4 linked regions of the Styela clava genome follow. The protein of the gene in region 1 purifies or fractionates together with the protein of each later gene. This does not show direct contact. Links are inferred from orthologs where the notes say so. Each region holds a gene or a part of one and is shown on either strand. Other genes may lie near its edges. The genes, in order: phosphatidylinositol 3,4,5-trisphosphate 3-phosphatase and dual-specificity protein phosphatase PTEN-like; Parkinson disease protein 7 homolog; OTU domain-containing protein 3-like; ubiquitin carboxyl-terminal hydrolase 10-like.

Region 1 (7,912 bases):
TCTCTGCTCATCTGTAAAATGGGTTTCTTTGAAACGAGACAATGTCGCTTGATCTGTATAGTGTGCTGTACTGACTTGATGGTCCAGGAAGCCGTAATTGTCCAGTGGTTAGGTGAACCACCCTGCGACGGCGAGGAGTCCAGCAATCGTCTTTCACATAACCATCCCTGCATGGGATTTGAACCTGCGAATCCACGCACAGTAATCAGAGGTGCGGTGGCGGGCGTATTTCTAACGTTTAACACGATGAGCCACACTGCCACGTCACACTTGGATGATCATACAGTGATATTGTCATCAGGTCGTATTGCTCCCTGCAGTCTTCACCAAAAACAAAAAAATAGTGTCTATTTGTTGTACTGTCTGACTGTTGTATGTATGTAATCTATCTATCTCAGTATCTACAACATCGGAAAAATAAAATTAAAGCACTTGGAGCACAGGAATATGGTGGACATAATTATGTGAGTTTTGAATTGTATCGGTACCGATATTTCCTCAATAACTGGTATTTACTTTTAGGCTGGTGCCTGTAAAAACAGAAAAATGTTCCTGTACCGTAATTCAAATTCAGTAATATGTGAATACTGGAATATCTCGATACTCACTGTATATATTTGTATATTGTACTCTAGTACTTAGATGAAATACAATGGAAGAGATAAAATGAATGTAAACACATAGTGAAAAGTGGTGTCGTAAATCTGTAGTGGACCTCAGAGACCGAACCAGCTGCTTGACCACAAGCAGCCAAGGTTCAAAAAAACATTCCTGCAAGCTTCCGATTCCAAGATGTTTCGACATTTGCCTCAATAAAACAAACATGCTATTTTTCTCTGATCACGCCAAGCTAGTCATGGTAATAATTTAAATTAATTGTGATGTGCGTCGGCCGTCATATGACCAAAATTGCGTTTATTTGCTAAAAACTCTCAAATGCTATGAAATATGGCAAAATTTCTTTTTCTACTGTAAATCGGATTATTATTTTCAGAGGAATCCAATGGTGATGTTTTAGATTGCGTTTCCTTTTAGTTCATGACTTGTCCCAGTTTGCCAATATGGAGGCTCAGACTGTATTGTAATGGGAGGGTTTGCACTCCACTGTTATATTTGATGTATTTTAACGTCGGGGCTATTCTTGGAATCAGAGAACTGTAACATACTGTTTTAATCAAATCATTAATCAAATAATCTGGAATGATAAACCAGAATGCTATGTCGATCCCATACCTGACCAGGCATTGGTATAATTATGATGAGATGTTGTGGTTGGCCTTATTTTTAAGTAATAATGAATGCACTAATTCGATATAAAAAACTGAGCATATTTGATTGAAGATGATTTCGAGATTGAAAAGTGGAAAATGGAAAATATCAAGTTCTTGTATTGTGCTCTTGTTAAGGGTATAGAAGTCCTATCAGTAGTATTTAGATAGTTATTCCTTGAAGAAATATTTAAAAAGAAATTATGAATATTTTTATTTAGTTTAGTTCCAGTTATTTATTTTATAGCAAGTGAATATTTACATTTGGATTATTTCGAGTAAGGTAAATAAATTGAAAAAAAGCTCGCTGAGGCTGGGTGTGAAGTGGGCGTTTTGAATTTGTAAATAATTTGAGCAAATTGATTCAATTCCTCCATTATCACGAGCAATCAATTTTATTTCTGCGTTATGGTATACAGAGGATGTGTATAACACAAAATAAGAGAATAATCAAAAACTACATTCAACTCATTTGTATCAATGTCTCAATAAACTTGTACTTCTAGCTTAAAAACAAGCTATGATGGCGAAAACCGATTAATATACTATTCTGAATACACTGTATAATATTGGATATTCTAAATTAGTTTATGTTCATCAAATAACACATATAAGTTGATATATAACTTATAAGGAGTGATGTTAAATTTTTTAATACAATTAAGTAAGATGAAAAATTATGTGATTGGTTCTCTCTATTCAAAAATTTATTTTTGCAGCATGATTTCAGTTGCTCTAAATTTCAACTATTCTAAATTTTCCCAATTAAATAATAACGAATACAATCAATTCCAAATAGATTCTAGTATTACTTAATTTCAGATATTCTCTGTAATAAGTATTTTTTGAAAAAATTTTTTGTCATTTTTTACGATCGATTCAAGCTGAGTATTCGATTCATCTTATCTACTTCTAGTTAAAGTGAGCAAATAAATACACTGTGATTACTTGCAAAAACTAGGTAATTCAAATCATCAATGAGGATCTTTCAGCAGCTGTGTTGGGAATAAACAGCTTGGAAATTAGATTATTTTTTGATAAGGCATTATAGCTATGCACAATTCATAACTTTTGTTATTTATTAGGAGTGCAACAATGGAAGCTTTCTATTATGACATTCACAAGAGATTTGGTTTTTATATCAAAGATCATTAAAAACGTACTGCATAATCAAGTTTAGTCAAATACACCCTATTTACCTTTTGGTTATAGAAACTAAGGTTATTTATATTACATGTGATGTATCGATATAATATTTTTGTTAATCGTTTTTCACTTTTGTAAGAAAGGTCGTTCATTCTTTCTATAGAAATAAACTGTCATGCGATGGCATGTCTATTTAAATACTCAATTATTGATCTATGACGTTATTCATTGATACATATGTAATGGTTGTATATCTACATTTAATACTCCATGGTTGTTTTATAAATAGGATATTTCTGAATACGCAATTTTGTTGTGTGGATGCCAAGCCATTGGAGGAATTTTGTCTGAACGAATTTCAATTCTTGATATTTTGATGCTTTTTGAAGAATTTCAAATTGTGAAATTGGGGATTTTTATTTTTATCACCCCCTGTGCAACAGAATCATGATTTATGACAAATTGTATGAAGGATGGTTTGATTCAGGAGAAATGAATTTGCAGTATATGCTATTTGAATGAAGTACCCGTATGTGGTGATATATGATAATCTTGATTATCTTATGGGTTATTATCAGTATTTGAATTTTATAATTTTGTAGTAATCAATGTTTCATACCGAATACTTAAAGTGATAATTTTATAGTTATATAGCATATACCTGCTTTAAAATTTATATTATACCATTGCTTTATAATGTGATGTATTCAAAATCGATATTATGCTTATAAATCCATTTGGAAAGATGATAGGATTATAGCATGTTGCTTGAAAGTAAATTGGATTCCATAGTATGTTAATTTGTTCTTGGTGAGAAAATAGAAAACTCCTAGGATAGTTAATAGTCATTCCCACTTGGGCTGATAATTTTAGTTAATATTCTTTGTTCTCTTATCAAACAAAATTGACTGGTTATCCATTGTTGCTTTAAATCAAATAAAACATCTCCAGTTTAGCTTTTCCTTGGTGTTTAACAATTAGGATTGGTATTCTTTTCAAATTGAAGGCCACAGAGGATAAAGTCTAGCGATTTTTTGAAGTGAATGTATATTAAACTGTCATAATTCGTTGTAACTAACTATCAGAGATCAGTTAAATAAAAAATACCTGGTTGACCGTGCCCATACCTATTACCAACACTTAGGTTAGAGGTAGGGATGGTTATATGGTTCCAATCACCATTCGAATGGCCTCCCTCTCCCGTAGAGAGCATATTGGGCTGCCACTTTGACAGCAGGTTAGATCTTAAGGACAGTTATGCATCTATCGGTTCTATGACTTAAGTGAACATTTTAAACATGTGTAGTTAAACTAGTGTGGCTAAGTAATAGACTTAGCAAGAATATACATCCAAGTCTATTTATTGTCACTTGACTGACATAATCTATATATATATGTATGTGAATATTTATGCATATTATCGGACAAGGTTCCTTCTCGAATATGTGAAATATTATGCAACCAGTCATAGTGTGGGTTGCATGAGGTCATAGAGTTCATTGAACCAAATAAAGTAAATCATACTGATCTATGCTGTAGTGTCACAGTGTTAATTTTTTACTGCAAATACTTAATTATACCAACAGAGAGAGATAGAACAAGGAAGTAAATTTAGGAGGCTATAAATACCTGTTATAAAGCATTGTACATCAGGGTGCGTCCAGTGGATTGCTTTTAAAAAAAATGATATGGAACGATATTGTCTTTTAAAATAGCAATTATATTTGAACGTTTAAAACCGAGCTAATGATGAATGTAATTTGATCATTTATACATTGCGTGGTATCAGGTTTGTTATTTCAATTTCTGAAAAGTACAAATTTGACTGATGGCAGTGTAGAAATGTAAAAGTCTTGATTTTTTCAATTTGTTTAAGTTTTTAATACATAATTGAATACTTTTTAGTGTGGTTTTTAATTTTTATCCTATTTCTGAAATTACATGTAATTTCACACAGGGTCTTGCAAATATGGTAGCAATTGTAATCTACCACTAATAATCAGTGAAGTGTGACTGGCGAGATAATCTAAAACGAAAGTTTCAATGCTGTCAATGTCATGCTTCAATAATTTTTTGTCTATTATGAACTTCGTATATACCAAAGACGCAAAGTAGATTCATTTTCAATTTCATATCCACGACGAAATTAGGTTAACTATGAATTTTATTGGAATAAGAATTTAAAAATTTATAAAAAAAAGTGAATGGAATGATTTTGATTCGTCTAATCTAATGGTATGTATAAAGTTTATATTTCTGTTGGATCCAAATTTTGTTATAAATTGATTCTTGATATATCTTGACCAGGTTTGTTTTATTTAAATAGTTTTTTTTACTACATTTAATACACATATAAATAATATACTCACCGTTAATTGAACAAAGCACCTTAAAGTCCTTTTATCTAATTTCATTTATGACTCTTTGAGCACCCTGTATAACTAATTCAAGTTTTCATGTTTTTTTCTCTATTTTATTGTCACAGTGTAATAGATAGTTATTAATAAAAGGATTGTTAATAGAAATACCGTAGTAATTTTAACTCAGGAATTATACCTTATCGGATAACCGTGGATATTATTCAGCATCAGGATGGCAAACACAATAAAATCTATGGTCAGTAAGAAGAAACGAAGATATAAGGAAGGAGGATTCGATCTGGATCTCACATGTAAGTTGATAGATTTCATATTCGAATATAGGCCAAATCTGATGATAACGTGCCAAAAAAATTATGCATGTAATATACCAAGTTATTTATATCAAATTTGCATGACTAATTCATTTCAGTATTTTATGGAGCATAAGATACGCTTTGAATATTTCGTTCCGTCAAAAATAAATTGTCAAGCTGGAACGCCTCGTGTTTGAATCAGGTAGTTCCTTATAGCCTACACTCAAAACCAGTAACACCCAATGCACCTTTCGTATGAATAAAAACCCAATCTAAGCAATTTATTGACAGTGCGCCTTATGATATGGTAGTTTTATTTTTAAATATTCTGATAGCCTTTAAAGAGATGATGAAAACTGCTATTGCTAAAGTTTCTAAGGTAAAACAAAAAGAATCTCCAATACATATATATAGCAAGGGCTAGGAATTATTTAGTTGCTGTGTGCCATGCTTTACTCTGTCACATTGGGAATCTTTGCTAAAACCAAAAATACTGTAATTGTCAGCATTCAGTGTAGCAGTGAAATTGTTACATACAGATACAGGTATATGCAAAAATATGGGTTGTACTAAATTTTTAATATGAATTCAAGAAGAGTATTTTGGTTTATTATCAAAATAATGACTGTCCTGTCAGTGTTGGCAAACTAAATTATATTTTTATTTCCTATATTTGGGAATGTAGAGAGAGTAGGATTACCAGGTAGCAGTGAACGATTATGGTATTGCACATAAAATGTATTTTTTTAATATTGATCATTGTTTGAATATTTTTCAATAATGTTTTCAGCAGATGTTTAAAACTTTCACTTTCATTATCACATTTGAGATTTGATGGTAACTTTATTACGGTAGATATAATGTCTTGAATGTGTTGAATCATAAATGCTATATAACAGCACAATAATGCTTACGAAATGACTGCAGAACAAAAATTATAAGCAAGATGATTTTTGACTCGGTTCTTTCATGAAGTCTAAATTAAGCAAAATAAAATCTCAAATTCCACTGAACTAAAGCCGTAGGGTCAATATATTATGTCCCTGATATGATAGACTGATATACTGGTTCATAGTATTCAAGTTAAGGCATTCGGAAAACTGGCAGAAAAATTACTATGTTTTTTTTTTGTTCTCATTCAGATATCTGTCCAAATATTCTTGCGATGGGATTCCCAGCAGAAAGAGTTGAAGGATTGTACAGGAATAATATTGATGATGTAGTCAAGTAAGTAACATTTGAAAAACGAAATTCGGTTTAATTCATTGATTGATTGCAGAAGAAAAAGACTGATTTTCAAATTTTTATGAGTCCCGGTATATATATATTGGCTGATTTTTGCATGACATTGTATGTTGTGTTGCAAAAAATTTAAAACTTGATTGTTATTTGAGCTCAATTTTGTTATGGACATGCAGCCATGTGGTTGCAGTATTGCCTTGAAAATTAGAATTTCCAATCCTTTTTTGGGCCATTATGAAGCAGTAGCTGGGGATAAGTTTGCTTTGATGTTACATTTATCAACGGTGTATGCTTATTATCAACCTGATATAATGAACTCCATTGGTATGGTACAACTGATATTTTTGAAATTTTTATGCTTTTTCTTGAAATTTATGCTTTTTTTACAAATTATTCTGTCAATTTTAATCTGAAGTTTGTTTAGTGAGTGATTAACATTAAAATGAAATATATAGCTACTTTCATTATTAATAAGAGGTGAATAAATGTACATACCAAAAAATCAACCATGAAATTCATTCATACATGAGTAGCTTTAAACTTAGGATCATAAGAAATAATCTGAAGACTTAATGTGTAGATGTAAATCATCATATTCTAATATGAGAAGTGAAAAACTGTGTTGTATTTTACTCTGTAATATCGTTCTTTGTTTTTTTTCAGATTTCTTGAGTCGAAGCATCCCGGCCACTATAAAGTTTATAATTTGTAAGTACATTTTAATGGTCATAATATATTCACATGTATATATTGTATAAATATCATATTTTTTTTTTATTTACAGATGTTCTGAAAGGACATACGATACTGAAAAGTTTCACAAAAGAGGTAAATCTCTTTAATTGATTTAGATAGCTTTTTAAAAAAAATTTGGTTTAAAACTATTTTGAAATATTGAATATTCTAAAAATTCACCATGATAAAAATTATTGGAAAAATTCTTCAAGTTGAGAAAGAATTGTTATTGAAATAAAGATGTAAACATAGCTCAATATTTAAATCTTGCAGCCAGTTTTCCTTAATCTTACTTATAAATATTAATTGATTTAGATAGCTTTTAAAAAAATATCGGTTTAAAACTATTTTAAAATATTGAATATCCCAAAAATATACTATGTTGGAAAATTATTGGAAAAATTCAAGTTGCGAAAAATTGTTGTTAAAATAAAGATGTAAACATAGCTCAATATTTAAATTTTGCACCCAATTTTACTGTAATCTCAACAATAAATAGTAGCTGTATTTCTTGTAGAAATGGTGGCCCACTGCATTCATATTCATTCGCCACCTCACCCGAGGCGTAATAAATTGGGTCTGCAATTCCAAACTATAACTCCTTATGTAGCAGTGAGTGATTGTGTAGAGCCTTGTTCAGAGCCAAAGGAGTATAAAAAATACTCAGCTGTTGGTTACAGATATTTGTATCCTAATATTCTTTATTAATAGAGTCTGTTTAAAAAATTTGAAATTGATCTGTGATATTTCAGTCACCAGGATAATTAAAATAGCAATCTTTCAAAATATAAGGAAAGTTTGAAACATTTTAATAGGGTTGGATTTATATAAAATATTGGGTCTTCAT
Region 2 (6,698 bases), on another chromosome or scaffold:
TCACCCAAGGGATTAGTATGGGATTAGTTAAACCTTTCGTACTCAGTCAATCACTGTTATTACTTTTGAAATATTTTTTCTTATTGGATTATGTTTATAATAGTTATTCTTAAGATAGGACTCTTTCAATTCTTGATAATTTCAACTTCAGTGCAAGCAGGGCTGGAGAGCTGGTTCGAAACCATATTGGCTCCATCTCACATTATATTCAAACTGTGGCCCCAGCTCAGGCGCTTCATTCTTCTATGTTCAGATGACTCTTTAACATTAAACAAGGATCCACTGGAAAGCACTGAATAGCTTTCCAGTTCGCCTAAGATTTTAACATAGTTTATTATAAACACCACACCATCACAGCACTATTTTTTTAGTTGATCAACACCCAAAAGCACCTCTTTCAACAATTTTTATCAGTAATTTAATGTTCGAATAAAGTCATCATTCAAACGACCTGTTTATTCTAATCACAATTTTCCTTTACCATTTGCAGTGTTATTCCTACAATCACTTCATTTTCTTGTTACACATAAAAACGATGTTTACTTATCTGTATGACCCCTCTTTAAAATAAACTCATTGTTGTCACTGTTATTCACAAATTTATTCATTTGAAGTTATTGCCCGATTCTATATCATGTATTTTTGTTTTATTGTGTTATTTGACTGTTTTTGGTGGACGGGCGCGTATTTTCACGTTTTTAACTTTTCTTAAGTTATGCCCGTCCTCCAGGTCCTCTGTGTTTTGTCTTTGTTCGTTTGTTATTGTTTTTTTTTATACCAGAGCGACCGAAATAAAATTGATTGATTGATTGACCGTAAATATATACTAGATAAGATAACATAAGATTTTATTTCGACTACGGACTACTACGGTTAGACCGTAAATATATACTGGTTAGACAGTTACTTGTTTCCGGAAGCTTGGACTTGATGGTGGAGGGAGCCGTAATCGACCAGCGGTTACGTGAACCACTCTACGGCGGCGAGGAGTTCAGCAATCTCTCGCACATCATCCCCGCATGGGATTCAAACCTGCGATCTCACGAAGGTTAAGCAGAGATGCTGTGGCGAGAGTATTCCTAAAGCGTAGCACGATGCGCCACACCGCCGAGCCTACTAACATCTAATTAAAAAGATTTTTATTTACGGGACGACCGTCATAGTCGGTGAGTTCCGCATGATTTTGACAAATACTACAGTATAATTGAATATATTACTAGAGATAGTGTTCAAACGTAAATAAAATTCAAGAGCCATCATATATGCAAACTACTGAATCAATTTATACGATTTTGTTATCTCTAAAGCCACTTTTGTCATATTGGATAAGTGGCAACTTTCTTTATGATTTGCCGATTGGGAGGAGGAAATTTTCGATACTTAATAATAGTTTGTGATCGTCAACAATAACTTATAATTTTCACTTGACTCTTCGAATTATATTCAGAAGTCATATTGGCTCCATCTCACATTATATTCAAACCGTGGCCCCAGTTCAGGTGCTTCATTCTTCTATGTTCAGATGACTCTTTAACATTAAACAACGATCCAAGGATGGTATTCGCGGTCACGCGTTGACTTTTTTCAGGAGCTATTTGAGTTCACGTCAGCAATGTGTTAAATTTGGTTCGAATTGCTCCAAACTCTCTAGTGTACAATGCGGAATTCCACAAGGATCGATCATTGGACCGATAATGTTTATTCTATTTGTCAATGACCTTCCTCATGCCACTAAATTACTTGTCAAACTCTTCGCTGACGATACCGGTTTGTTTGGAAGTTCAGCTTCGCCAAACGACTTGGAATTGCGGATGAATTCTGAAATGCAAAAAATTGCAACCTGGATGACCATAAATAAACTCACCATAAATATTGAAAAATCAAAATGCTTATTAATTAGTCCCAGGATAAATGAAAAAAATAAAATTCGGCTTCAAATTAATATTGACAAGGTTCCACTTGAAAATGTCAACTCATACAAATACCTAGGTATCCACATTGATGACCAATTGAAATGGACATCACACATTAATTACATTGCTGGAAAGTTGTCAAGTGCAACAGGTTTATTATTTAAACTAAGAAAATTCCTCACCATGCCAGCTCTCCGATTGGTTTATTTTTCTCTTTTCCAGTCGTATCTGCAGTATGGCATTATAACTTGGGGTAGTGCGTCATCGACTCTACTCCCCAGATTAGAAGTTTTGCAAAACAAAGCAATTAGAGCCATATGTAGTGCACCTTTCCGATCTAGACTAGATCCTTTGTACCACAGGTGTCGAATTATTAAGCTTGGTCATATCCATGAATTTGAGATACTGAAACTCATGCACCAGTACTTCGATAACAAGCTTCCCATGGCATTCGCGGGAATTTTCAGAATGCAGAGTAATATCCATTCATACTCTACTAGATCAGCTTTGTCAAGTTCATATTATGTCCCAAGATATTCATCAAGCAGGACACAGAAATCCATAAAATACACGGGTGTGAAACTGTGGAATGCCTTACCAAGTACCATTAAATCTTTAGGCTATTACGGTTTCAAATTATATCTAAAAAGTAAATATATTAGTTATTATCTCTCTTCCATCAGCCATTGATTGGAGTATTCAGTATGATTCGCCATCTTCTGTCCATAGCCCAGTAGTCGCATTTGTAGACCGTCGCCATGGCTGCCCAAAAAGCCGGAGGAACTATAGGTGTAAGGAGTCTATTTCTAAAGTACCCGGTACTTTAACTTTACCAAACTTGGTGCAACCTCTACACTAAAATGCCAAAATTCGTTATATTTTAATTTATTGAGCAAGCATATGCCTACCATTCTTTCGTAAATTTTATGCCCACTTACTGTGGAGCGTATTGTATATATATATACATATCAACGTTTTATGATTTATTAGAGCTTACCAACTCCTATTCAATTAATCTCTTACAATTTTGTCTTTGGTCTAACCATTTTCCCCTCGCTTGTCGTTTGTCTTTTATGTAACTTATATACATTTATTCAAATATGCCTTTTTTATGAATTTATAGTTGAGTTGTTTTTCTTTTTTTTTCTCTATTACATGATTTTAGTAAAGTTGCGTTTGCTGCGAATTTTTTCAATGATTCAAAATATGTTCATCACAACGACTATTGCATAGTCAATGTTTGTAGCAAATGTAGTTATTTTTTTTACACTGAACCAGTAACAGCGCTTTAGGTGTCGCTGCTTGAAGACCTAATATGGTCCCTCGCGACTCCTGTCGCACAAATATCATTATTATTATATTTATTTATTGTACCAATTTTTTTTGCATTTGATGTTTTTGTGACGACGAATAAATGATTGATTGATCCACTGGAAGGCACTGAATAGCTTTCCAGTTCGCCTAAGATTTTAATATAGTTTATTATAAACACCACACCATCACAGCACTATTTTTTTAGTTGATCAACACCCAAAAGCACCTCTTTCAACAATTTTCATCAGTCATTTAATGTTCGAACAAAGTCATCATTCAAACGACCTGTTTATTCTAATCACAATTTTCCTTTACCATTTGCAGTGTTATTCCTACAATCACTTCATTTTCTTGTTACATATAAAAACGATGTTTACTTATCTGTATGACCCCTCTTCAAAATAAACTCATTGTTGTCACTGTTATTCACAAATTTATTCATTTGAAGTTATTGCCCGATTCTGTATCGTGTATTTTTGTTTTATTGTGTTATTTGACTGTTTTTGGTGGACGGGCGCGTATTTTCACGTTTTTAACTTTTCTTCAAGTTATGCCCGTCCTCCAGGTCCTCTGTGTTTGTTCGTTTGTTATTGTTTTGTTTTATACCAGAGCGACCGAAATAAAATTGATTGATTGAAGTCTGGAATACAGAATCGGCATACCGGTAATATAAAAGTTCGACTTGAGCTCCTGACTTCGGAATAATATTTAGAAGTCAAGTCCATGCGATGTAAAAAGATAATCTTATTCTACTAATGAGCTGCCTAATTACATACTTTACATGGACTGTAGTACAAAAAACCATGGCTCACCATATGATTAAGTAATTTTATCGTATTTTCTACCCCTCCTACTGGGCGAATAAAATTCCTGTCCTAACCCAAATATGAGTACAGAGTCCCGGGTAGTGTAAAATTCGACTCCTGCTGTGGAGCTCAAACATTGCTGCATTGACTTCGTTTGGATTCATTCAATGCAATTGCACTAGTTGAGGGCTCTTTTTCTTGCTCTACGGGTTATTATTTTCACGATTATTCGCTTATTGAGTAAACGACAAAAAGAATTTATAATGAGTGGTTCTTTGAAAAGGGCACTGGTCTTGCTTGCGAATGGCGCAGAAGAGATGGAGGCCGTTATTTCCATTGATGTGATGCGTCGAGCAGAGGTTTGTGAAAATTCAGAATTGTTTTCCTTTTTTTTATACAACCTGGCTCTATTTCACTAGTTTAGAAACGCTAGGATTCAAGTGAATTATGATATACAACAAGTTTTAAGCTTTTTTATAAACTATACCGGTATTAAAGCAAAATTGAAATAATTTATAACGACAGAACTTACTGATGTAACAAACAAAAAGTTTTTTGTGACCAAATAATATTCATCAATGACATTAAAATAAATACCAATAAGCGGTATTGACAAATAATTATTCCATACACATCTATACTCTTAATTTTTTATATGCAGATTGAAGTGACTGTTGCTGGCGTTGACGCATCAGATAAAATTATGTGTAGTCGAGGGGTTTGCATAATTCCAGATGTTGATCTCCAAACAGCCATAGATGCTGCCCCGTATGATGCAGTTGTAATGCCTGGTGGTTTAAAGGGTGCGACCACACTCGCAGAGGTAGCTGGTTGCTTAAAATTGTTTTGAATTTTTAATATTCTATGTAGGGCAATCGCTTAAATACAAAAATATCGAGACAATATTGTAAAATCTTATATATTTGACTTACCTACTATAGATATTTATTAGAAAATATTGTTCGCTGACTAAATTTAGTAGATATGTCAATAATTCTTGGGTCTTGAGGTAAAGATGCTACAGTATACCACGATCACCCAAGATGTTTTAACCATCATTTGACTCATAAAATTGTTTCTGTACAGTCAGATGGCGTAAAGAAGCTCCTGGAGATGCAGATTCAACATACAAACTTAATCGGCGCAATATGTGCTGCTCCTATAGCTCTCAAATCTCATAACATAAAACCAGGGAGCAATATCACATCTCATCCATCCTTAAAGGACAAATTAGAAGGTTCGTCTTCATAAAAATACTTATAATCTGCGTCGCAATATCCACTCTTGTGTCAATTGGATTTTGTTAACGCGCACTTCTACGCTATAATTTACAGTCCCAGTAGTTTATGGCTTTTTAGTGCTTGCCCGCCCTTGACTTTGCTCAGAGATCAATATTCTATACTGAGAGAGTGCGTGCTAGATTTGTGAGGAATCATATTTTTGTATATTAGTTCATCTGTTACATAGCTTTTAAACTAACATAGTTTCTAACTGTATTTCAGGGTACATCTATTCTGAGGCAAGGGTTGTCAAGGACAACAAGCTGATCACAAGTCGTGGTCCAGGAACATCATTTGAATTTGCTTTAGAGCTAGTTGAAATGTTGAAGGGAAAGGAAGTCCGAGACAAGATTTCCGGACCGATGGTTTTGCCATAACTTGCCCACCGACTATATTTATATCATTCACTGTTAGATAACATCAAACATCATCTTTGCCCTGTTTGAGCTTGATTTATTCATTTTTGATAGTTGTCTCTAAGTTACGCAATTCAATTGCCCAAAATACGGAAGATCATTGACTGCATGGCAATTAACTGCGCTTATTGGGTTTATATTTTCATGTTGCCTTGACCAGTGATTCCCAACATGCTATGGCTCGTGGCCCCTTGCCCGTCCCGACTTTAAACACTCATGGCCCCCTTGTTTATCATTCATATCATTGGTCTTTATAGTGTAATTTTGATTGGTAGATTCCAAATCCCATTATGTTGAAACATTTCATGCACAAAGTGAAAACACCCTGTGAAATAACTTTATCAAGCAGAGTTTTCTTGTAAAGTGAAAAGTAAAATCAGTTTTGCGCCTAGCATTGTCGACCTCTGTCCACTGGTATTTTATACTATATATTTCTGTATAGTATGTATTCCTCATAATTCACTCCTTTTACATATGTGATTCTGGGATGTTTTGACAGAAATGCTTTTTTTCATTTCCAGAGCTATAGCTTTAAAATAAATCAGGTCAAGTTCAAATGGATGACTTCCTAGCTTTTTGCAACAAGACGGCTGGTCGAGACAAATTATATAGGTAATTGATTGTTTTTTCTCAAGACTGTTTTTAGGTAAATGTGCAGAAATTGGGATTTCTTGTAATTGAATACAACATGTTTTATAGAGTCACGCAATATGGCAGCAAATTTCTTGTATGGTATCTACTGAGAAATGGCAATAAGGAAAATGCAGTCAACATGCTCATAGAGCTGGAAAAATTAATGAGCACGTCCAGAAAATGTGAGTTTATATTTTAATAATTCTGGCAACAGACACAGATCTCACATTACCAAAGCTCAATTTACTGAATAAAAAAAAAATATACATTTTTTTCAGTATTTAGATTTGGGAAAAGTGTGGACAGTCTCAGAGCAGCCCAGAGAGCAATAAATTT
Region 3 (6,869 bases), on another chromosome or scaffold:
ATCGGATCCCGTTGGATTCGAATCCACCGGATTCGGTATTTTATATTGCCCATACCTACCCTGTCTTATATCAAAAACCTAACTGACAAGTTCATATTGAACAAATTGCAAGTAGACTAGCGTGCCATGACTGAATTTAAAAATTTTGTACCGAATTTCCCTGTTCTACTTCGCGTCTGCAATCTAAAAATATCGGCTGGTGTTCTACATGTAAAACTTGTGCTACGAAACCGTATCCTGTGATTGATGACTGGTACTTGTATGCGAATTTGTTCAATTTACAAACAAATAAACATTCGCAAACTTAAACAGATGTTTATGTTAACTACTTTACAAAACTAGGGGAAAATGGATATTGTGTATTGAACTGCAGGTCCTTTCTCCTTGATTACTTCCTAGTTCGGTTCCGTATGTATGGGGCACTCACCACAAGGATGCTTGAACGAGATAGTTTTAAAGTGAAAAGTAAAAAGAACATGATCTCTTTCAACGAAATAGTAAGTATATTTGTGAGCTTTCGTTAGATCATGGTCTAACTTCTTCAAACAATACAAGATATAACTGTAAATATAAAAGATCATATAAATTTAGTCTATCATTGAGTTTCCTATAACTGGATATGGTTGCTATCGTATCATCTTCGAATAGCCGGTTTAACTGATGTGGTTGGGTTGTGGTTCGTCTATTTGTGTAGTTTCCTTTGTTTGTTTTTGAACCTTATTTGTTTGTATTTTTTTTTATAGTACTGTTTGTCTTTTGGTTTTATATTTGCATTTGGGCCACGTCCCCGTTTGAATTTTAATCTTTTCTATTGATTCCCTGTGGTTGCCGAGTCTTCATTTTGTCAATCCAGAATTTGTTTTTCCTGTAGAGTTCGTCGTGGGTTAGTGAGTCAATTCCTAGGACACTGAAATCGTCTATATTGTGCCCTTCCCTGTTGAATTGGTTGGTAACTGGTGTTGGGGGCCCTTTTCGAATGTCCCTAAGGTGGTCTGACGTACGAGACTTTAAATTTTCTTCCGGTTTCCCCAATGTACTGTGCTTGGCATTTTTTACAGGTATACAAATTTTTACTTTACAAAATGTAGTGATGTTTTTGGATACAATACTCGTTCGGTTGGTAGCAGACCCTATTTTGTCGAAAGGACAAACTCTAGTTTGTCATTTGCTTGAAACGGTATTCCTGATGGCGTTAAAGAATCTTCTTATAATCGTCCCAAATTTAAATACATGCAGCATCTTATATTGGTCATTAGTAAATCAGTCATAAGTAGACTTTCACTGAATTTACCCACTAAAATTATTTACATAAAGTCGACTTTGTTTAATACTTATGAAGTTTTAAAAAACAACAAAAATCGACCGCAGTTCGGAAACGGCTTTTGATAACGAGCGACTAACATACGGGCCTGGCCGGTATTTTAGTCGTTGGGCCTGACTAGGGTTAGTTCGGATACCTATAATTTTTACTATCCGGATAACGGATATATCCGGGTATTCCGTATTTTAACTATCCGGTTGACCGGATAGTTACTTCTAATTTTAAAGATCCGATTTCGCAAGATTTTTACGGCGAATTGACCAAAAACCACCACACAGTTCTATTGTTAATAGCTCAAATTCGCAATATCGCAAAAATACGAATAAAAACTGATATTATTTATGCAGCTTACTACGTATTTTCATATATGCAGAAAGCGGTGGCATTTTATAGTAGAAGTGCTTTAATTTTAACGTATGTCGACGCAATCGCGAGATACGTTGAACAGAGTTATTATGGAAAGACATTTTAAAATGCTTGAATCAGCCACAAATTGGTTATTTTGCGCAATAGAAAAATTTAAAAAGTTGAAAACATGCACATTACATGCAATCGTATACCGAAAATTTTGAAATGCTACACAGATCACATAGATTACAAAGTATTGGGAATTAAGTCCTGGCTTGTTCCATCATGAAATGCGTTCCTTCAATACACGCAATAAACTAAAAGTCACACCCGACCAAAAAGCCACAAACTCACACCCACACATTCAATACTTTTCAACCTAATTGGTGGCTAAATATGGGCAGAGTAGTGTGAATAGAAGGTGTTATTATATGCTCTGAAGTCTGGGAGATGTCAAGACGCCACTCAACAAAAAATATAAAAATTACTAATGCGCATATACATTATTTATATTGCTCTATTATCCGGTTAACCGTCACAATATTATCCGGATATCAGATAGTAAAATACCTCTCGGTTAACCGGTTATCCGGATAACCGCTATCCGGATAAACCAACCCTAGGCCTGACCGACCGCTTAGTTTCAATTGGTACGTAATGGAGCTTTCCCCGACCTTTGACCCCCAGAAAATTCTTATACTTCACCGTAGCAAAATTTTCGGGGCTATTTTGAGAGTGCTTTTGCGAGTTGGCGCCTGTAAAATGGGATATGTGTTTCAAACCATCATTGTGATTTATTGCATACAACAAGCTGTTTTTTAAAAGTACCGGTAAAGAATTTTAGGCTAGTCTATCACAGCTATTTCTACACTAATTTTTATTACTGCAATTATTAAATTAAAACTCCTAGGAAAACAGAGTGATCATTGATTTAAGTTTCAGAAACACAACTGAAAACCAACGAATAGGGTTCGAAAACGCGAAAACGAGATAATGTTTACAACCACGCTTGGAAATCTGTCTGAGTGATAAAAGTGTCTGAGCGGATGCGAAAATGGGGCATTGTTACGTCACTTTTTACATCTTGCTGATTGGCCAATGTCACGAAGTTGGGAGGTTTTTTGCTTCGCCCTGTCCAAAACTTCTTTTCAAAATATCGTCGATATATTAGGCTGTAATTAGGCCTACATGACCCAACCTTAAAATTGTTATGATAAATGCATTTTTTGAAACATTAAGCATTGTTGATACAAAGTTCTGAATATCCGTAATGACTTATTTAATGCACTATAAAATATTCGCCTTCCTTTAATTGTTTTTTGTTGTGCTCGTGTTTTTCAGTTGACAAAACAAATGAATCTTTTTCTCTCTCTGCTTTGAATCTGGGTTTAAGCGTAGTAGTATATATTTACGGTTTAAGCCAAATCAGATAGGCGTAGCAAACCAGTTGATCCTTCAATGTGTGCGGATGTGACGGTGAGGGAATACGCAGTCGTAATGTAGAGTCATGTAAACCATGTAAACAGTTGAGAAAAGACTGGCGGATAAAAAATATATCCGTTTGACAAACTATGTCATCGTGGATGGAACCAACTCCCATTGCTCAGGAAACAAGTCTCGGGCAACCCACTGATCTATTGTCTCTAGTTCCTGCATATTTTTATGGTTTATTAGTTTTGTACAGTTACTTCGTTGGATCGTCGCTAATGAAAAGATCATCTCATACAAATTTAAATTTATCATTTATCAGGCGTGGTGACTATATTATCCACACAATAGCGCCTACGAAATTGACCCGCATTTTATGCCAGACTCTATTGTTCTCATTTCTTTTGTCGCATACAATTTATGATTAACGACTCGAGTGTAAACAAAGAATTTCTGCATATGTCGTTTATTGTTTACCTTTTTAGAACCTAATCCTTTTGTGTCGTTGTCCCACCCAACATTGGTTTTTGACAAGTTCATGTCTCGAACAAATTTTTATTCGTTTCGTATAATCTATTGTAAAGCACACTAAAATGCGATTTATACCCTTTTCCCATCCCTTCACATCAGAACATGAACGTGAACATAAACTGCCTATTGTACATATCACCGTGGTGCCGTACCTCTTTGTCCTGTGTATTTTATTTGTATATTTCATGTCTCTTGTCCTACTATGACGCAGCAGTCCTAAACTGCAGTTATACCTGTTGGGGTGATGTCGCACATCTGTGTCGTAGGCCAGTAATGTCTTGAACATGTATCCCGTCTCTTTTATACCGTTTACTTATTATGCAGATACTGTTACATTTTTGAGGCAAATAAACATACACCTTAACACCATACAATAAACCTTAATGTTCGATAATAAAATTCGAAAATACTAATAGACCCAGGCGCCACCTCGAGTCAAATCAAACGGGGAGTTTATGTTGTGTCTTGTGACCCAGGTTTCAGTTCCTGGCAAGGCTGCGTTTCCTTGTCGCCCTTGATTACTGGATTATATATCATTTGTGACAGAATGTCGAAAAAAACAGGTAGAAATTCAAAGACGGACGTGGACAGAGCCGCTAAAAGAGCAGCACAGAATATACGAAAGCATAAACAGGTACCCTATCGGTACCGGTATGGTGCCGTACCGGTACTGTACGGGTTCATTAAATTTCGGAATTTTGAGACCTTAATTCAGTTAATGCTGTAATGGGTACCGGTACTGGTACGATATTGTTAATGATCCCAAAAAGTCTGCGAACTGACTTGTTATCTGAAAAACTAATGTACATTGATCGGAAAAATCACATTCTTGTCTTAAGTTTAGAAGTTGCTAATGACTGAAGGACCAAAGGTTCAGTCCAAAATTCGCAGCTTTGTGTCTTTCATATTCAGATATTGGTATATCAGTACTTGGTATATACAACCACCAGATAACAGTTTACTTATTTCTAATTTTCAGTCAATGAGTTCCTATTTATCAGAAGATGTGAATTACGGAGGATTTTCAAATCATCTCGCACTTTTGGGATTGAAATTGAGAGATATCCCCGGAGATGGGTTAGTTTATTTGTATGCTATATGATTTAATTTTTGTTCATAATTCTAGTTTATAATACAGTAATATAACTGATTGTCTAAGACCGCAGCTCTCAAAGAAATGATAAAAATGCAGTTACAAATCTACTTAGAAAGAAATTGTAATAAAAGGGAAGTCTACATTTGCTTATTTACCAAGCATATCTACAACAATGATATTCAACAGCAAAGGTTAATTTACAGAATGGCAGATGCACATAGCCATACTTACCAGAAATTAGTTGAATAACGATAAAATGAAATTTTAAAATTATTTATATGATTTTAATGTGTGCATACTTTTTGCTGTTTTTATTATCCTATATTGTTAATCATTTCTTTACAGAAACTGTCTCTTTCGAGCTCTCGGTGATCAAATGGACGGTCATTCAGATAACCACCTTCGACATAGAGAAGAAATCGTGAAATACATGACTGAACATAGGAGTGATTTTGAACCATTTGTGGAAGATGATATCCCTTTCAATCGTCATGGTATGCATTTGATGTTCATTATTTTACTTTACAGAGTTTAGTTCCATCAAAAATTATTCTTCAAATCTGAAAATGGCCTCATTGAACTGTTGTCACTAATTAAAGTCGCAAATCTATTTCTTGGGAATATTTTACCCTCGGTGTCTATGGGCCATTCCCAAATTACAGACAACATTTGGAGGTTTAAAGAGAAGTGTGAAAGCTATAGAAAAGCCAAACATTTTTCCTGTTTTCTTGCAATAAAGCTCATAGTAGTGCTTCACTGTTAATCTCTGATGTAAAAATGTTTTGGAACTCCCTGCAAAATCATATTATAGATTTGTTTCTATTTTGTGTTTTTAAATGGTGTGCTATCTATAATGTGTTTTTCAGAAAGAATAATTCTCATTAAAAATGTTCCAAATTTTTTTTTTTTTGCCTATACTTTTACTCTAAATTTTGCAGTTGAAAATCTACGAAACCCTGGAACATATGCAGGAAATGATGCAATTGTTGCATTTGCCAGGAAATACAATGTCAATGTGGTGATTCATCAACTTAATGCTCCTATTTGGACTGTAAGATCATATCATAATGAATTCAATTTAGCCTTAAAAATAGACGGTGAATCCAAAATAGTTTCAAGTACAATATAGAAGTCATTAAATTTGGAATTGAATGGGTAACTTTTACTGAACAGTTTTACTGATTTCTGAACTTTTAAGGCAGTTTTCCTGAGCCGACACTTGTGGATTGATTGGTTCACTGTTAGTTGTACTATACTATTTACCCATAATGTATGCATAAGCACCATTCTGATAATAGTTTAATTCGCAGGTGAAAGGCAATGAACAGCCGAACTCCAGGCAACTACATATTGCATATCATAATGGAGATCATTATTCAAGTATTAGGAAGATTAATGACAACAGTAATGGACCGGCTAATGTGAAACTTGGTGTGAGTGTTTTTAAGAAATTTGTACATGATGGGACTAAATTATTTGGGCACACACCCATACGCTGAAGTGACTTTATATAAATTTCAATAGAAAGAGTGGTAGATTAATACCATGCCAAAGGATATCTAAATAATGAAAATTCTTTCCAGGAATACAAGGAAACTGAAAATCTTATGCAAAGAAAGAATGTGAAGAAACGATCAGACAGTGTTTCTGAGTATGAACTACAAAAAATAAAACGAATTATTGAAGTAACAGGATGTCAGGTATCAGAAATTCCTAATTTAAATACGTTAAATAAGTCAGAGTTTTTCAAACTGGATACAGTGACTGTAGGATTAATTTTTTTTAATTTTCCAATGATAGTAAAGCCAATTAACTATAACCTCTCGTCAGGTTGCCAGTTCATTCAAGATGAACGAATTAAGCCAGTCTAACCATAAGAGTTATTTGACTAGACTAATCCCGAAACTACAAAAACAATGTTGTTTGCATGAAATGTGTCTGGCTGAGTGGTTGCACAAAATTCAAATGCTACACCACTGTAAACGGTCATTGGAACAAACAAGGAAGTCAGTGCCAGATTCTGGAATAAATACCTGAACAATCTGATGTCAGAGAGCCTTGTCCATCTCATTTGGCAAGCTTCAGGGAATGCAATATGCTATTGTAATTCAAAATTTTCACAGGATCGGAAGTTGATTAGGAAAA
Region 4 (8,026 bases), on another chromosome or scaffold:
CATAACTTCAACCGTCTTGTAGTTGGGAAAGTCTGTGGGTCGAAAAGTCGTTACAAAAACGATTTTGCACATGTCAATCCTATCCCTCACCTGACCACGCCATCCAAAAATTACATAATTAAAACGTCACAATCACGTCATAGAGCTTGCCAAAGTAGTCTATACATACGATCGCCTGGTATGCGCCAACGATAAAGAGCAGCTCATGGCAGCGATCTCTCTCATATCGGGATCATTTCGACGAGAAAACTAGAGAAGTAGCTTGTCGATTTTGGGTTATTGTCTGCATGTCTTGGATGACAGTTCGTATAGTTTGAAGGGCCCTATTACCGTATATTATAGTGACGTAATTAATTTTACCCAGTTAACAGTTGGAGTTTTTTCCTTAAAATTCCCAGTCCTAATTATAGATAAACATCACAATCATTAGGTTTTTATTTTTGCAATGTGACAACGAAAATTTTCTGTCAAAATGTGTTGCGAGCATGAAAGTTTTCAGCCATCAAACTTGGTTGACTGTAAACTTGAATTCGGTAACAGTCTGTGTACCTACCAGACAATAAATTCTATGTATGCCAAAAGTTTTTCTTTCAAGAACTTCAGTTATGTTGAGTTCACTACCTTGTAGCTGTTTGCTTAACAAATTGAAATATTTCCCTCCTTTTGTAATAATGAATGTTGTATCAAATTAAATGTAATCCTGATTTCATTTCACTGAACAGTTGGCGTTTTGTTTATCTGTCCATAACACACAGACTGCACAGATGCATAAAGTATTGGTAATATTATTTTATATTTGAATCACTATTCTAGTTAATCATAGTAAAAAAAAATGAATTCAAAAAAGCTGATTGCACTTGTATTACTCGTCATACAGACAACAACTCTCGTTTTGACGTTACGTTACTCCAGAACCAGACCTGTCGAAGGGCCACGATTTCTTAACAGTACTGTTGTGGTTATAGCAGAGGTGGTGAAACTATTATGCTGTATTTTAATGATTTTGAAATCAAAAGGATATTCGTTACGATTTACCGTGGATGAAATATTAAGAGAAGTCATCGGTCGACCAATTGAAACTTTTAAAATTGCCATACCTTCTGGTATGTATGCTATACAGAATAACTTATTATTTATAGCATTATCGTATCTGGACGCTCCCACATATCAAGTGACATATCAACTGAAGATTTTAAGCAGTGCAATATTTTCTGTTCTTTTGCTTGGTCGAAGTTTAAACAGATTGAAATGGATTTCTTTGGTTTTGTTGATGGGGGGAGTGGCTTTAGTTCAAATCCCACCTGAAAATTCTGAAGAAAAAGATCCTGCCTATCGTTGGTATGGTTTATTTGCTATTTTTTGTTCGTGTATCAGTAGCGGTTTCGCTGGTGTTTACTTCGAAAAACTTTTAAAGCGTTCGAATCAAAGTCTATGGATAAGAAACGTGCAAATGGCGTTATTTGGCACCATTTTTGGTGGACTTACAGCGTATTTTACTAATTATGAAGAGATTAGAAAAGATGGAATTTTTCAAGGATACGATCATTTAACATGGTTCGTTGTAATATTACATGCTGTTGGCGGTCTCCTTGTCTCTAATGTTATCAAATATGCAGACAATATTGTTAAAAGTTTTGCTGCTTCACTTTCTATCGTTATATCAAGTGCAGTTTCGTATTTTATGTTCAATGAATTTCATCCAGGTCCATTTTTTACTATAGGTACAGCAGTCGTTTTATTTTCTACTGTTCTGTATAGCAAATAGATGCAATAGTGGTAATATATATATTTGTGTGTTTTGAAATAGGTTCTGGGTATTGTAGAAGGTGACTATATCATATATTATCAGAGGGTGCTATGGGGTATATATTTGTGGAATATGGTCTTGTAAAGCAGGACGCAGGAGTGTGCAATCTTTTTTAATACAGAAAGGCCAGATACAAATAACTGGGTGAAACCACGAGCCGCACCTTTTTAACAGAGGCGTTCTGATAGTTGCAGGCACAAATATTTTTTTATTTCTGTTATGGATCTTATGCATTGCAGAAATGATGAGTTAATTGAGATGCATAAATTTCTAAAAAAAAACTGTTAAACTGAATCAAAAACTTGTTTCGCAGGTCGTACACGATTTAAAATTGGCACTACTCTGAGTCCGCACGTATGTTGCACACCCCTGTTGTAAAGAATAAAATATTTGATGTTGTTGGTAGTGACAGTCATAATTCTATTCGACTAAATCTGTGTTGTTTAGTTTACTTGCAATTACATCATGCCATTGTATTTTTAATGCTGTAAAAGTGTTAGTTGTGTCAGCAGGATTTTTGCTCCATGCAGATAAATTGAAGTCAATCATCATAACCTAACCACAACATAACTGGCTAACACATGAAAAAGCATGTCCAAGTTACAACTAGTTCTGAGATTGAATCAGCTAATTTAATTTCCCATCTTTTTTACACAAAAAAAAGCAATCATGCTACTGATGTTGTTCGAAAACTTTTCTCCGTCCTTTTCCAAAATTATCCTTGTTCAAGTATTCAGATATTCAAGATCGTTTTTTAACATTTTTCAACCGGTTATTCGTCCTTCAAATCATATTATTTGATTTGTATCATTTTAATTTACTGCAATATATTAGGCATAAAGCCATAATATAAATCATAGCTATTTCAATTAAATAGTTTAATTTGTAATATTTGCAACTGATTTATCATATTGGAAAGCTCAATTCCTAATAATTTGCTATATTTAACATATAAATTCTGAACATTTTTCGCAAATTTTGCACCTGCTGATGTCCGTCTGTCGTAAAATAGAAAGGATGAAATAAATTGTCAGCTGCTGATAGCTATTTACCACTTCTACTAATGCTTTAGCTTCTTTATCTGTGTCTGCTTGGATTATTTATGTATAATATGAGAATATTGTGCAATCATATGTTGAATATTGGTAAATGATTGTAGAAAGAATCTATGTTGTTCTAACCCTGTATCACTGTGCCAGTCATAAATCTATAAAAAAGAGCTTCTATTCTGAGTAGCCAAAAAAATCTCCCGTAAATTGCGATGAAATAAATATCCTATACTTCACCTTTTGCGCAATCGATAAAAGATGTCATATTTAATTTTGATGGCGAACTTATTTAGGTGGAATTCTCTACCCTGGGGGGGGGGGACGATCAACGCATGTCACAAGATCAATAACCAAAAGCCTCCAACTACTAGAAAACCTATATTGAATAAAGGTGCGGCCCAGTTATTTCCATCTGGCCCTCCTGTATTAAAGGTTGGAAACCCGATGCTGTTGTTGTGTGATTTTCATACTGAGTATGTTTAGTAAAATCCAACATTGCAATGTCATACAACATATATTTATGTAATTTATTAGTATTTAGTATTCATTAGATTCGTGTTTTCTCTGGGGCTGAACCCAATTTTAAATTATTGCTCCTGGTGCCATTATAAGCGTATAATCTCACATGTTTGCCATATCCAGCATTTGCTACGCCTACAATATGGTACTCCTGAAGTATGTGAATCAAGATGGAGGACACCGGAACGTAGTATATGTAGCAGGTTGGGGTTAGGCCATGATTTCTAGTCCTCGAACTCCTAATAGAACTTAAATAAAGAAAAATTTTATCTGGAATTATGGCCTATTCCTAACCTGGTACACATACTACATTCCGGTGTCCGCCATCTTGAAACGCATACTTCCGGAGTACCCAATTTATTAATATTTGCTTGTAATAAAAAGGGTACTGCCGTTAGTGTGCGCCTGGTTAGGGTTAGGCTGTAATTTTATTCCTATTTACCTTATTTTAGTTCTATTACGAGTTTGGGGACTGTCTGTGTTGGCCAAGTGAATATACTCCCTGCCCATAGGTTTAAGTCCATTTACACAACATGATGTAAAGTAGGCAAACAAAACTAGTTACCCCATATTGGTACACAAACTTCTGGAGCGCTATAAAAAGACCTCAGTATCACAAGTGTTGACAAACGTCTACCATGGATGAGCATTAGACCAAGCAATTCAAATTGTCTACCGGTTTCTTTCTGACTGACTGATAGTCATCACTGCCCGTTCGCATTCATTGTTCATACTATATTTATTGCATTGTAAGCTGTAAAGATTGTTCTTTTTTCTGCTCAGACAAAATCATAAGTTCATAACTATGCATGCTGCATGTGCAAAAATATTTTTGTGAAATTTGTACTACTTACTGTGGTAATGAATGTATTCACCGTTTACAATAGAGAATTTTTGACTGAAAATAATTGTACCATGCAAGTATTTATTAAAGTGGAGAGATGGATTCAATTTTAGTTGTGACTAACAAAAAAATGAGGTATCTTTTAAACGATGCGTCTTCATTCCCTTTTCTCTAAATAAGGCCCCTGATATCTGAAGATTTGTAAGGAGTTATTTTTATATCGTACTGGTATCCTCCCAGTTCGACATAGCCTACACAATTTATTTCACCACCTATAGAGGGATGGGATTTAAACCTGAGATGTGTATTCCTAAAAAAAAAAATTTTAGAATGGTGCATATTGGATATATATTTATATATTTGCCATTCATTTTAATTCAGAATCTTTGTTTCATAATATGCCTCAAACTGTTTTTGCACAAATTAAGTTTTACTGATAAAGTGTTGATAAAATATATATCGTATTCTGTTACCTGAATTTCAAGAACATTTTTGCTCTCACAGTGCACACATCTTTACCTCGGCCATTTTTTTTTTGAGATTATCAATCCTGAGATATTGTCTTTTGTGTATTATTGCATTGTCATACAATTATACGTAAAATTACTGTATTGTTTCAAATATCATAAATACGACCAATATGGACATGCTTTGTACCCAGGAGAAAGGTCTTCGTTTTCTATACTATCAAACTCTTTTGAGGATTATAGAAATTGGTATTCTATCTTTCTGACTATCATTCAATGTTCTACATGAGATCTGAATTATGGAACGTGTTATATCTTGTTAATCTTGTCTCTCTCTTAGAAATAATAGCTTCTGTAGATATTATTTTTGTGATACAATGAGTAAAGGGAATAGATAGATATTTGGTGTACGGAAATTGTTTCAAAGAATATTTGTCACAAGCTTGCCGATCATGGCATCAGCACCTCGAGTAAGTTGAATTTATATATTTTAATTTGAAAATTACCATAAATTGTCCTTCATGAACGTAACCCGCAATTGTATAATAGTTTTATTGTTCATGAATTTGTGATGTACTCTATTGACTGTGACTGCAACAGTCAGGCCTTTGGAGTCAAGAGGTCGAAGGTTAACATGTTCTCTCTGAAGTCTGAGCCAGAGTCGCATTCTCTAACTCATCAAAATTATGAATTCCCTGGTATTTGGAGTGAGTCTGAGTTACAATTTCAGACTTTCAATGGTGATAAAATGAGTGAAGTCTTTTAACTCAAAATGTATTGACTCTACTAAGCATTCAAAACAGTCTATTAAATAAAGCTGGTTTGTTGACTCCATAATTTTTGTCATCAGTATTTGTTATCAGAGTCTAAGCTGGATTCGATGTCTGAATGTTTTACAAGTCATTGACAAAAATTTTTTTAATATCTGAAACAAAATTCTTTTGGGAAATTTTTTTATCCCACGCGACAGTCGTATAAACAGTATTCACAAATGCAAAACATTTGATAGAAGTATGTCGCTTAAACTTTTGCTCTTGTATGAAAATAATTATCGAGTTTGTGTCCGTATCTTACAGATCATAAAGCGCACTGTCTATAAATTGCTTAGATTGGGTACTTTTTCATACATAAGGCACATCAGACTATGAGGCACTACAGGTTTTAATATCCATGATCCATACATTAGGCGCATTGGCTGATAAAATTCATGATCAATTTTTAAGAAAAAAAAAGATTTAAAGTGTGTTGTATGGCCCTTAAATTACGGTATCTCTATAACTCTATCCTATTCTATGGTTTCGACTGCATTCAGTTTGTTGCAAGTTAATAAAGTAAGTCGCAATTTAACAATCCAAACTTATTTCACCTATCTATTAATATTGACATGGGTGTTTCTTTGATTATAGTATCATCGAAGTTTTGAATTGTGCAAATTGTATTTTTAGTTCAGTTTTGGGGATTTCACAGAGGAAGAACATAATTGTTATTTAATACAACCTGGATGCGTGGAGGTATTTTTTTATTCTCGTTTTCTATTTCAACAGACAACATATTTTACATTATGATATACCGGCAGTAATATTGATTGAAGCTTCGTATTATATTTGAGAATCTGAAAAAGAATCTTGTACATTGTGTATCTTCTTATAAATCTATTCTACACAAGTGGATCACAATAACTTATTCATATTAGGTCTCACTGTTGATAAGAATCTTGGTATTGAAACAAAATACCCTAATTCAGTTGTATGGTATGAAGAATGTATAAAGTGTGGTATTCACATTTAAGGCTTATTTCTTGCTCATTGGGTGGCATATATATATTGGCATACATCAATCTAATCAAAATTGAAATATTTTTTCAGTTTCCGAATTCATGCAATTATGTAACACGTAAGTGAACGTTTTCTTGATCTTATTTTTTTTTTAATTGAAATAAAATAATGTAGACCCAGAGATTTCGCAATAAATTGAATATTTGAATGAAGCAAAAAACCATATTTGAGGGGGTTCAATTCGTGCGAAAATTCATAATTTCATTATGGAAATAAAGTATTTTTATTAGATATTTCATTAATAGTATTATACTCATGTTTTGGTCTACATTTTGGCTACATTACTTGAGAGTTATTTAAAATAGAGCTTATTTAAAATAAAAAATATTAGAGTAATGTAAGACAAAATTTGAAGAGATGTTTTCCAAAGTTTTGTAATTTGATTTTGTTGTGTGATCTATTTTATTGATATTACAATGTAATTGGATGTAGAGAAGTACCGATACCACTTTTGTCACCGATACCGATCCGATACCAGCAAAAAACGCCGATACCGATACGCCGATACTACAAAAAGGCCGATATTCCGATACCGATACTATGTAATTATTACTTAATTAGGTGTGCTGTATAGGGCAGACGGGTTAAAACAACGGTCTTCGAGCGTTGGTCATAGTACACATTATTTCAGATCGAAAAAAAGATATATCACATAATATGAAGTTAATGTTTGGTGTTTGCTTTAACTGATTAAGATACATTGTACAGTAACGCTAGTAATCTCGGTGTTCAATTAGAAAACTCATAACCCGGAATGTCCAATTTGAATTTAATGTTAATAATATCGCGGCCTTCGAATATCGTTATTCGTGTTTAAAAGAATATCGAATATCACCCACACATTCTAGCGCCTACGTTCAAATTAAAAGCATTTCACAAATATTTTATTTCGTGGCTAATCGTAATCGTCGACGCAATAAGTCAAAGCCAACATGGAAGAATATCAATCAGCACCGACAAGAAGAAGGCCTACCTATAACCGTCGAGGATGTTTTTTTACTTTACTATTTTATAATATTTTACAATTGCTATCATATATTTTGAGACAGTCTGGGGCTAGGCGGTCATGTCAATATATCTATAAAGTAATTGTGTAGTTAAACAAAATTAAAATTAATACCTGCGTAGATGGATAATTGTGTCGGAATTTAGTTTATCGATGTCGACGGACTAAATGACACTCGTCCTTGACGACAAACAGTCAGAATTTATACCCGTGCCAAAAGTCCATGTGCCGTTAATAAGGACCCCAATTCATTCCACTGTATGATTCAAAACTGGGCACCTAGTTGCTTTTTGTTATGTGCTGTGTTGATATATTTTTTCATAATTACTATGTAATATTAAAAATGTCAATATAAAAATTTGACAGCGGAAATAGCCAAATTAATTAGTTGAGCTAGTTTGGCTGATAAATAGCTAAAAACACGTGAATCCTATTCTCTCGCGGGGGTAGCTCACGATCTCTCCAGACAAAAAATAAATTAAAAAGTAGTATTCCAACG

What was found.
Region 2: the proteins of phosphatidylinositol 3,4,5-trisphosphate 3-phosphatase and dual-specificity protein phosphatase PTEN-like (region 1) and Parkinson disease protein 7 homolog purify together in Homo sapiens (affinity purification with western blotting; 4 studies listed by BioGRID, with this or other methods). This does not show direct contact. The link is inferred for Styela clava from reciprocal best matches to the Homo sapiens genes PTEN and PARK7.
Region 3: the proteins of phosphatidylinositol 3,4,5-trisphosphate 3-phosphatase and dual-specificity protein phosphatase PTEN-like (region 1) and OTU domain-containing protein 3-like purify together in Homo sapiens (affinity purification with western blotting; 3 studies listed by BioGRID and IntAct, with this or other methods). This does not show direct contact. The link is inferred for Styela clava from reciprocal best matches to the Homo sapiens genes PTEN and OTUD3.
Region 4: the proteins of phosphatidylinositol 3,4,5-trisphosphate 3-phosphatase and dual-specificity protein phosphatase PTEN-like (region 1) and ubiquitin carboxyl-terminal hydrolase 10-like purify together in Homo sapiens (affinity purification with western blotting; 4 studies listed by BioGRID, with this or other methods). This does not show direct contact. The link is inferred for Styela clava from reciprocal best matches to the Homo sapiens genes PTEN and USP10.

What each region holds. Positions count from the first base shown.
Region 1 is NC_135260.1:11,756,471-11,764,382, reverse strand, and holds the start of phosphatidylinositol 3,4,5-trisphosphate 3-phosphatase and dual-specificity protein phosphatase PTEN-like, read left to right. Parts: upstream 1-4,893; 5' UTR 4,894-5,006; coding exon 5,007-5,085; intron 5,086-6,230; coding exon 6,231-6,315; intron 6,316-6,993; coding exon 6,994-7,038; intron 7,039-7,114; coding exon 7,115-7,158; intron 7,159-7,912. UniProt on the Homo sapiens protein: Dual-specificity protein phosphatase, dephosphorylating tyrosine-, serine- and threonine-phosphorylated proteins.
Region 2 is NC_135257.1:17,241,630-17,248,327, reverse strand, and holds Parkinson disease protein 7 homolog, read left to right. Parts: upstream 1-4,182; 5' UTR 4,183-4,296; coding exon 4,297-4,392; intron 4,393-4,694; coding exon 4,695-4,856; intron 4,857-5,119; coding exon 5,120-5,270; intron 5,271-5,535; coding exon 5,536-5,690; 3' UTR 5,691-6,178; downstream 6,179-6,698. Other genes in the region: peroxisomal membrane protein 11A-like, read left to right, coding at 6,286-6,341, 6,429-6,544, 6,641-6,698. UniProt on the Homo sapiens protein: Multifunctional protein with controversial molecular function which plays an important role in cell protection against oxidative stress and cell death acting as oxidative stress sensor and redox-sensitive chaperone and protease.
Region 3 is NC_135256.1:9,157,285-9,164,153, reverse strand, and holds the start of OTU domain-containing protein 3-like, read left to right. Parts: upstream 1-3,845; 5' UTR 3,846-4,175; coding exon 4,176-4,262; intron 4,263-4,607; coding exon 4,608-4,705; intron 4,706-5,069; coding exon 5,070-5,218; intron 5,219-5,662; coding exon 5,663-5,775; intron 5,776-6,034; coding exon 6,035-6,157; intron 6,158-6,307; coding exon 6,308-6,424; intron 6,425-6,847; coding exon 6,848-6,869.
Region 4 is NC_135262.1:10,709,777-10,717,802, reverse strand, and holds the start of ubiquitin carboxyl-terminal hydrolase 10-like, read left to right. Parts: upstream 1-5,024; 5' UTR 5,025-5,138; coding exon 5,139-5,156; intron 5,157-6,131; coding exon 6,132-6,197; intron 6,198-6,551; coding exon 6,552-6,579; intron 6,580-8,026. Other genes in the region: UDP-N-acetylglucosamine transporter-like, read left to right, coding at 833-1,765. UniProt on the Homo sapiens protein: Hydrolase that can remove conjugated ubiquitin from target proteins such as p53/TP53, RPS2/us5, RPS3/us3, RPS10/eS10, BECN1, SNX3 and CFTR.